Ovis aries: one gene and its partners. The protein of the gene in region 2 interacts with the protein of the main gene of each other region in a biochemical or structural test. Links are inferred from orthologs where the notes say so. Each region holds a gene or a part of one and is shown on either strand. Other genes may lie near its edges. The genes, in order: SIAH2, SNCA and SIAH1.

Region 1 (3,755 bases), on a different chromosome or scaffold from region 2:
CATGACCCTAAGAAAATTTTGAAACTGTTTTGTGTAAATTTTATGACAAACTACTACTGGGCTGGGTGCATTAGTAAGCATTGCATGAGGAGTGGTTCAAAGCATGATAATTTATTAGGGTTGACTGAAAACCCAGAGCTCAAACACAAGTTCAAACGCTTATTTGAATATGCTATTTTAAACCCTATTTGTGGCAGGACACAGACCAAATTAAATCACTCATTTTACTGACATTCGTCCCAAGCTTCAGTTCTCTGGTGGATTATTTTTAATTTAAAAATAAGCCCTTGCCCTATAAAAGTAAGCAGCAGCAAAGAGAAATCAATGCCAGAGAGCCTAAATGGCCCATGAAGCGCTTTACCAAAAAAACTCCAAAAATATTAATGACATTATTTCTAAGTTTAAAAAATGAGATGTATGGTAAAATTCTAGGTTATAATGCGGTAATATAGATAGATACGTCTCTATCTGCTCCTGAAACTGCTCCTGAAGATTTTTACCCAAAAGATGTAAACTGATGTTACAGTATGACCACACAATGCAAAATTATGCAGCCATTTAAAATACAATGAGATAGACTTAGGCTGCAGACATATAAAAACATGTGTGATGAAACGAACTTAAGTCAGCAAGCTGCAGAAGCCATTTTTGGAGAAAAACTTACGTGTGCATATATAAACCTTCCTGACATTAACATCGACCATTCTATATTCAGCTGCGGAGAGTGTATTTATACATGGTTAGAAAAAACTCCATGCAGATGCATACTAAACCTAACATTGGTGGGAAAGGAGACGTTTGGGTCTTTCACTTGTCTCAGTGATGTGCCCTTTTTTTTTTTTCTTTTGCAAGAGCACTGATAATTTTTTAACTAAACAAAAAATAAAGTGGTGGGCTTTAAAGAACTGTAACAACAGCTCCTGCGTGCCCTTCCAGTTAAATTCCCCATCAACTCTTGTTTTCTCCCCACTTAGTAAAATAACACAACTCATCAGTCCTTGGAAGGCTAGGAGAGGGAAAGGCGTGGCTTACAAGGTTTTCTTGTTGGAGGAAAACAGGCTGTAGGCGCCCTTTTTTTTTTTTTTTTTAGCTACACTCCCGAGGGCTCCCACGTGTCAGGGGTGCGCAGAAGGCAGACGCGGGGGGGGGGCAGGAGGAATCCAGGACCAGTCCTTCCAAGCCCAGCGCTGGCGAGGGGTGCGTTTAATTCGCTCCTTTCCCCTCTCCTCTGTCCCCCACAGATAGTCAGCTTCTGGGTCCAAGTTTTCCTTCGGCGGCCCAGCTCTACCCAGGCTGAGTACACGTCTGCAGAGTACGCAGGCTCCGGGTGGGGACAGCGTGATCGCGTGCCAATCAGGCTGGGGTCAGTGATCGGGCAGCAGTCGGCCCAGAGCTGCTCCCAAAGTGGACAGGTGGCATGGGGGAGGGCGAACACGGTGTAAACTTTTTTTCCCCCCCAGTTAATGAGAGAAGCCCACTGCCTCTCAGCGCCCGCGAATGGGCTGGGGACACAGGAGTCCCAGGAGGTCGCCGGGCGGTGGTGCGTGGCTGGCACCTGGGCTTACCTTGCAGGGAAACAGAACTGCCGAGGCCACCTTCTCCATAGCCAGGTTCCTGATGCTGGGCGTCAGGGCGCCCCGGCACGTCGGGCAGCAGCTCAACTTCTGGCGGCATTGGTTACACACCAGGTGCCCGGCCTGGCACTGCAGGATGGGAGGCAGGACATAGTCAAAGCACACCGGGCACTCGAAGAGCGAGGTCAGCTCGTGGTGCTGCGGAGACACTGGCCCAGCCCCGCCGCCGCCGCCGCCGCCGCCGCCGGGGCCCGAGACCACCGCCGCCGCGGCGGGCACCGCGGACGAGCCGGGGCCCGCAGCCGAGATGGTGGCGGCGGCCGGGGGCGCAGCCGGGGACGGAGCGTGCTGTGGCTGCGGCGGCGGCTGCTTGCTGCAGGGTTTGTTAGCGCTGGGGCCGGTGGAGGACGGGCGGCTCATTGCGCTCCGAACCAACCATGGAACTGCGGGCGTCTGCCTGCCGCGGGGCCGCCGGGGTCAAGGCGGTGCGCGCCCCGCGGGCGGCGGGCTCCTGGGCAACGCCACCGCGCCCAGCCCGGGACCGAGCAGCGGAGACGATCGGCGCCGGGCAGGATGGAGGGCTGGACCGCGCTGACGATCTCCGCGGTCCCCGGCGCTCCGAACACCCCTTCGAGCCCCCAAACTCCTCCTCCCGGCGGTGTCGCGGCCCCGAAGCCGAGCGGCGCGCAGAACCCCGGCCCACCAGCTACCGGAGCGGCCGCTGACGCAAGCCCCGGGGGCGCGCGCGGACGTGACGCTTGGACACGTGTGCGGCCGCCCGGGCGCGCGGGGACTGGCAGAACCACCCGGAGCTGGAGCTCCGGCTCCGCCCGACTCCAGCTGGCAGCGCTGGGGACCGCCTAGCGCCAGCGCTTCCTGCCTGGGCTGCGGTCCCGGCCCGCGCCAGTGAGCATGCCCGGCTCGCCGCTGCCGCCGCGCGGGGTCTCCTTTTCCGGGCCGCGGAGGAGTCCGCCCTTCGGCAAGGCGTCGCCTGAGTTCTTCGGCCACACCCCGGGGAGTCACGCCAACGCGTTCCGCGGGCTCAGAGCCGAAGGATAACTTTAGGCGGGGCGGGGGCTTGGGTGGGGGGGGGGGCGGGGCGGGACGCGGGTGCCCCAGGGACAGGTCGGAAAAAACCGAGAGGTTTCTTTTCCCAGGGTTGAGTCAGCAGCACGCGGGGGAGGCGTGACCGCGGTCAGGACGGCTCTTACTTAGACCCGGAGCTTTGGGCGGGAGCAGGGCAAGGGGCTCGGGATGGGTCTGCAGCGGGCGCAGGACCTAGTGCTGGGATGTTAAGGATATGTTTGGACCACTCTTTGGTCCTGCTCTTCCCAGGGGGAAAGGAGGTAAACTAGTCTTTTACCATTGGCCCTGCCAAAGCCTTCGTTGAATTGAGTTGAGCGCCTCTGACTTGCTAGAGGGCCAGGGAGGGAGTTCACGGACAGAGTTAACTAAAAGGAGTTCGAGATCGCCAGAATCTAAGAATGCCAGAAATGCGGCTAGGGTCCTGAAACCCCGGGAAAACAATGGATGATGCTCCAGTATAACGCATCTTTATCTTTGAGATCCCGCGGAAGTCCAAGACTTTGATGGCAAGGTGTGGGCCCTGGCCCCACACGCTCAGCCGAAGCCCTGGAGTGAGAACCGCAAGTTAACGTGTACGGAGTTGAATTGCTTTTCTGCAACTTTGACCCACTGACACTGGAATTGAGGCAATGAACTATGTAGCTGGGACTCAGGTCTTTCTTTGTAGGAGAGGCAGTGGTAAAGACTAGGTGAAAAATGGGCCTCTGCTTACCATCAATGTGACTTTGGACAAGTTCTTTATTTCTTTGTGCCTCAGTTTCCTCATTTGAGAAAGTGGAATAAAAACAGTACCTATCTTATGGGTGGGATAGTGAGGATTAAATGAGTTTGTTATATGCCAAGAACCTGGCCCATCATAATAGCTGGTTAAAAGTTTAGCAGTTATTTTTAAAAAGTAGTATTAGGGAATGTTTAATAATATTAATGAGTCCTCAGTGAATAAAATTTGTCCAAAAAATAGACTGTTAGAAGCCAGAAGAAAGTTTAGTCTTATACACGGTATATAGAAAGATTACATGCAAGGATTTTGTTGCATTTGATCTAAATCTTGAAAAAAATTAATAGATAACGTTGCTCAATCTTAAGTAAATGTTT
Region 2 (3,655 bases):
AGTGCTTACATTTCGGGAAGGGAAGGGAAGAAATAAAATAAACAATATGCATAAAAATAATTAAGCCAGTTATTATTTCTAAAGGTGATAAATGCTTTGGTCAAAAATTTAAAAAGAGTAGAAAAATTAGGAACACCAGAGGTAAGGAGAATGGTTCTAATTTTAAATAGGTCAGGGTAGGCTTCACTGAGAAGGTGTTATTTAGCAAAGACCTGAGGAGATAAGGGAGTGAGTCAGGGTTACTTACACTGGAGAAGAGCTTTCTAGACAGTGGGAAGAGTCAAGGCAAGGGTACACTATATGGATTTAAAGAATAGCCAGGAAGCCTTTGTGGCAGGGAAAAAACAAAAATCATTCTGCTGCTAATGATGCGACCGGCAAGGACTTAATATCTAAGATACACAAACAGTTCATACAACTCAACGATAATAAGAAAGCAAACAACTCAATCAAAAAAATGAGAATACCATAATAGACATTTCTCCAAAGAAGACATACAGATAGCTAGAAGGCACATGAAAAGATGTTCAGCATTGCTAATTATTAGAGAAATCCAAATCAAAACTGCAATGAGGTACCACTTCACATCTGTCAGAATGGTCTTTGTTAAAATGTCTATCAATAATAAATGCTGGAGAGGGTGTAGAGAAAAGGGAACTCTCCTACACTGTTGGTGGCAATATAAGTTGGGGAAGCCACTATGGAAAACACGATGATGGTTCCTCAGATAACTAAAAATAGATTTACCATATGATCCAGCAATCCCAGTCCTGGGCATATACCCAGACGAAACTATAATTCAAAAGAACCCATATACCCCTATGTTTGTAGCAGCACTATTCACAATAGCCAAAACTTGAAAACAACCTAAACGTCCATTGATTGATGAACAGATTAAGAAGGCATGACATATATACAGTGGAATTCTACTCAGCCATAAAAAAGAACAAAATCATGCCATCTGAAGCAACACAGATGCAACCAGAGATTATCGTACTAAGCGAAGTCAGAAAGAGTAAAATAAATACCATATGACACCACTTATATGTGAAATCTGAAGTAGGATGCAAATGAACCTCTCTGCAAAACAGAAGTAGACTCGCAGACATAGGATCAGACTTGTGGTGGCCAAGATGGAGAGGAGAGGGGAGGATGGACTGGGAGTTGGAAGCTGGTAGATGCAAGTCATCACATTTAGAATGGACAACAATAAGGTCCTACTGTGGCACAGGGAACTATATCCAATCACCTGGAATAAACCATAATGGGAAAAATATAAAAAAGAATATATATACGACCATAACCGAGTCACTTTGTTGTACAGCAGAGATTGGCACAACATTATAAATCAACTATACTTCAATTAAAAAAAAAAAAGAATCTGCTTATGGTGATGAATTTTGTAAAATGTTCATCTTCCAGTTGATACCTCATTTTCTGTTGCTTATTTGTTTAAAATGAAAGTCCTAACTCTTGGATAATTTTCCTAGAGTCTCATATTTGTCAAGAAAGGAAAAGTAAGAATTCTGAGAATTTTAAAATCACCCCAAAACCATGATCATTGTTCAAGCCCCTCCGTTTCCACAAACATATATTTGGCAGTGAATTGTTATATAATAAGCAAATATGCCATTTAATAAGAGATGATGTCACTATAAAGAAATTAAGTAAAAGATTTTCATTTTGAACATTTAGAGACTGGGCACAAAGCCTTTGCTATACTCCAACAAAGAAAAATTCCAAGATTCACAGCCAACATAAAAGCACCCATTCTTTCTGAAATGTCACGGCTCTTTTAAACATTTGTTACACTGTTCATTTCATTAACTTTTTTTTTCCAGGAAATAAAACAATCACATTTATTGTGCGATTTTCACAGTATTTATCTGGGTGAGTTTCTCCAAAAAGAATACATATAAAGGGAGTACTTTTTTTTAATGAGGGAAGCTCAGTCAGCTCTCCCGCAAGTAAGCATCTTATTCTTGCCTCTGTGCCTTGCTGAAAATGCAATGGTGATCCACAAGCTTAGAAATGGAACAAGATGTACACAGTCCTACCTTGCCCAGATGATCCTTTTTGCCAAAGCCAGTGGCAGCTGCAATGCTCCCTGCTCCTTCTACTGTCTTCTGTGCCACTGCAGTCACCCCTGTCACCACTGCCTCTCCAACGTTTGTCACTTGCTCTTTGGTCTTCTCAGCCACTGGGATGAATCAAAAATAATGACAGATTAAGGGATGGTGGACCAACAGCCACTAGGAATAATTTCACTTCCACTAACCATCAACTTCCAAAGACCTATATTCACACACGTAGATAACTGGTGAGTCAGGAGAAGAAAAAGTTACTGGGATTGCTAAGTGAGCGTGGCTTAGCCAAACACAGATTCTTTGCCAAGACAGTCTATGCAATCATGCAGATATTTAAAGGTGTTTCAAGCCTAATGATCACAAATTTAGGGCTATAAGCAATTTCACTCTGGTTTACATTTTATGAAAGAAAGTTTACAGAAAGCAAGGCTTGCAGGTGTAGTTGTATCAAACTCTGCATGAAATATTTCTTTATTTCAATTTCAATGCCAAGTCTTTGATCTCACTCAGCATGTTTTTTTCATCACACCTTCTGAGTCACAGAATCATACACGCTCTCACATGGTACCATCAGAAATAAAACAGAGGGAGGGATGACTATGCTGATCCTTTTATGAAGCATCAGGTAGTTGAAACAGAATGAGTTTTAGTGTTAAGATTTATTTTCAGTCATTTTAATGGGAACAAAAGAGCTGGACTTAAAGTATGAAATGAAATTGTTTGTTGAGCACACTTAATTTCTTTTCATTAAAAATAAGATATGGAGATTCGGTAGGCTTTTAAAAATGAGTTAAATTTTAAGATGATGGTATAAATAGTTTGGGATTAGATTTAGAAAGAGATTCGATCTCATGTCAAAAATTATCCAAGACTATATATAACTGTTGAATTAATCTTTCTATATTAACTCCAGACAAATATCAAATAAACAAAGCTGCAATAAAAAAAGTCTGTTTCAATTAAGAGTTTTATGAAAAAGCAGTTAAAGATGAGATTCTACACTTTTAACAATTTCAAGGTCAAGGGAAACAAGACAACTCTCCACCCAAACCTTTTTCCAGTAGTCATGTATGGATGTGAGAGCTGGACTATAAAGAATTCATGTTTTTGAACTATGGTATTGGAGAAGACTCTTGAGAGTCCCTTGGACAGCAAGGAGATCAAACCAGTCAATCCTGAAGGAAATCAGTCATGAATATTCATTGGAAGGACTGATGCTGAAGGTCCAATAATTTGGCTATCTGATGCAAACAACTGACTCATTGGAAAAGACCCGGATGCTGGGAAAAGATCAAACGCATGAGAAGGGGATAACAGAGGATGAGACGGTTGGATGGCATCACCAACTCAGTGGACATGAGTTTGAGCAAGGTCCGGGAGTTGGTGATGGACAGGGAAACCTGGCATACTGAAGTCCGTGGGGTCGCAAAGAATCAGACACAACTGAACAACTAAACTGAACTAAAACCTTATAACACTTACACTCATAAAGCCTGGGTCTTGCATTCTTATCTATATCTAATGCTTGCCTTCTTTTCTGAGGAATTCAGTGAGTTGCACTATGTGAG
Region 3 (2,709 bases), on a different chromosome or scaffold from region 2:
ATCTGTGTTGTTTTAAACCCTGTTTGTTTTCCTTTATTTTGCTTACAGCAAATTTTACACTAAACTTAAGTATTTTAGGCAAGTAAATGTTATTTATATAAAACATGTTATAGTTGTAATTAATTTTCTCCTGCCTCCTTATACTTTTATTTGTGTTTTTTATTACAGAAATGAGCCGTCAGACTGCAACAGCATTACCTACCGGAACCTCAAAGTGTGCGCCGTCCCAGAGGGTGCCTGCCCTGACGGGCACAACTGCCTCCAACAATGACCTGGCGAGCCTCTTTGAGTGTCCGGTCTGCTTCGACTATGTGCTGCCACCTATTCTCCAGTGCCAGAGTGGCCATCTGGTTTGCAGCAACTGTCGCCCAAAGCTCACATGTTGTCCAACTTGCCGGGGCCCGTTGGGATCCATTCGCAACTTGGCTATGGAGAAAGTGGCCAATTCAGTACTTTTCCCTTGTAAATACGCCTCTTCTGGATGTGAAATAACTCTGCCACACACAGAAAAAGCAGACCACGAAGAGCTCTGTGAGTTTAGGCCTTATTCCTGTCCGTGCCCTGGTGCTTCCTGTAAATGGCAAGGCTCTCTGGATGCTGTCATGCCGCATCTGATGCATCAGCATAAGTCCATCACAACCCTGCAGGGAGAGGACATAGTTTTCCTTGCTACAGACATTAATCTTCCTGGTGCTGTTGACTGGGTGATGATGCAGTCCTGTTTTGGCTTTCACTTCATGTTGGTCTTGGAGAAACAGGAAAAATATGATGGTCACCAGCAATTCTTTGCAATTGTACAGCTGATAGGAACACGCAAGCAAGCTGAAAATTTTGCTTATCGACTTGAGCTAAATGGTCATAGGCGGCGATTGACTTGGGAAGCCACTCCTCGGTCTATTCATGAGGGAATTGCAACAGCCATTATGAATAGTGACTGCCTAGTCTTTGACACCAGCATTGCACAGCTCTTTGCAGAAAATGGCAATTTAGGCATCAATGTAACTATTTCCATGTGTTGAAATGGCAATCAGACATTTTCTGGCCAGTGTTTAAAACCATTGCATTTGATTTCACAGAGAATAAGGCACCTGTCTGCCTACCAACCAAAAACTTGTGGTAGGTGGAAGCTAGACACATGAAGGTAAATAAAAGGAAAGGCTGTTAAATACAGGAAACAGTTGCATGTAATAACACTAATATATTTAAAAATAAGTCAACAGTAAACCACTGAAAAATAAATATATATATATATACACCCAAGATGGGCATCTTTTGTATTAAGAAAGGAAGCATTGTAACATAATTCTGAATTTGTGTTTGTTGTAGATTGAGTGTACCGTTGAAAAATACTGGGTTCTTGTTTTTTTGTGTGCCTGTGCGTGTGTGTGTGCGCGTGTGAGTATGTTTGGATTTTTTTTTCCTTCAACTGACAAGCCATGTTGAGTGGTCTTGGACCACTGCTTTTCCCCTATGTGAGTCAATACATAGTGCTGCTGTGTGTGTATATTTTTTTTCTGTGTGTATTTGCTAATTTTTATTAATTATAGTTTTTCATTAAATAAATTTGACTTTCTTTTCTGTAATTCAGGTTTTTCCTCACTTTTTTTTTTGTACCTTTTAAAGTTAGTGTCTTTTTGATATGCATAATTGTTGATGGTAAAATTTATACATGTGTTCGATACATATTTTCTTTTCCCCCATTAATCAGTTCATTAGAAATATTTTAAATTCAACTGTTTTGTGAAGATACGAGTTTCAGAAAGGAACATCAGAAGAATTGTCAGAAACTAGTTAAAGCAGGAAAGATAACATCAGAAGAATTATCAAACTAGTTAAAGCAGCTCTAAAATGGTCTCCCTCTCTTCTCCAGTTGAGTCATACCTTCAGACTTATTCTTTGTAAGGTTAGGGAGTACTGATTTTTTTTTTTTAATACTGGGGAAAAAAAAAATCAGGCTCTCCGTTCCCCCCACATATCTTGGACAAATCACATATGTTTAAAATTTGTTCTTGTGTTTATTGGTTTTGCAAAAGAAGGCATCGTCTCACACAGTATTTGTAATTAAAAGCAAATCATTTGTTTAAAAAGCAGTTTGCAAAAAAATGTTTTTGGTCTTTTATAATTCTCATTAAAAGAATATCTGGCAAATTAAAAACTCTTACGTGTCTGCTTTAGCTCTTAAGTTTGAAGATAAGCAAAAGAATGGGTTATGGCCTCTGTTCGGCCTGCAGTCTTTTCTTCCTTTCTCAGCTTTCATTTTGATTCTCCTAACTCTATTAGGAGGCCAATTAGTTAAAATACTGATCACTCCCCCACCCCCAACCACCCCCCCCACACCCCTTTAACAACAAAAAAATGAGTTAGTGTTCTGCCGCCTAGTGGTTAGAGCCTAGCTTCCGCAGCCAGCTTCCAGGGACCTACATGCCTGTGCTGCCTTTACTCACTAATCAGCTGTGTGATGCTGCACCCCCGGTTACTGGTGTGTAAAATGGGGTTAATTGTGGTAGCTACCTTCAAGGGTTAGATGGGATGGATACAAGTTACCAAGGACAGTGCTCTGCATTAATAAGCACCCAGCAAATGTTAGATACTTGTATTATGCCTGTAACTAGCACCATATAGTTAACTGTTGCTAGTTACCCTGAAGCACCTAGAAAGATTCTGAAATGGCCCTCTGATTGGCTAGAGATCATTTTATTTTGTGCAGGT

What was found.
Region 1: of the proteins of SNCA (region 2) and SIAH2, one has a biochemical effect on the other in vitro, tested with the Homo sapiens proteins (4 studies listed by BioGRID). The link is inferred for Ovis aries from reciprocal best matches to the Homo sapiens genes SNCA and SIAH2.
Region 3: the proteins of SNCA (region 2) and SIAH1 form a complex in vitro, tested with the Homo sapiens proteins (3 studies listed by BioGRID, with this or other methods). The link is inferred for Ovis aries from reciprocal best matches to the Homo sapiens genes SNCA and SIAH1.

What each region holds. Positions count from the first base shown.
Region 1 is NC_056054.1:238,088,304-238,092,058, reverse strand, and holds the start of SIAH2 (E3 ubiquitin-protein ligase SIAH2), read right to left. Parts: upstream 2,310-3,755; 5' UTR 1,995-2,309; coding exon 1,566-1,994; intron 1-1,565. UniProt on the Homo sapiens protein: E3 ubiquitin-protein ligase that mediates ubiquitination and subsequent proteasomal degradation of target proteins.
Region 2 is NC_056059.1:35,550,204-35,553,858, reverse strand, and holds part of SNCA (alpha-synuclein), read right to left. Parts: intron 2,201-3,655; coding exon 2,058-2,200; intron 1-2,057. UniProt on the Homo sapiens protein: Neuronal protein that plays several roles in synaptic activity such as regulation of synaptic vesicle trafficking and subsequent neurotransmitter release.
Region 3 is NC_056067.1:16,326,941-16,329,649, reverse strand, and holds the end of SIAH1 (E3 ubiquitin-protein ligase SIAH1), read left to right. Parts: intron 1-168; coding exon 169-1,019; 3' UTR 1,020-2,155; downstream 2,156-2,709. UniProt on the Homo sapiens protein: E3 ubiquitin-protein ligase that mediates ubiquitination and subsequent proteasomal degradation of target proteins.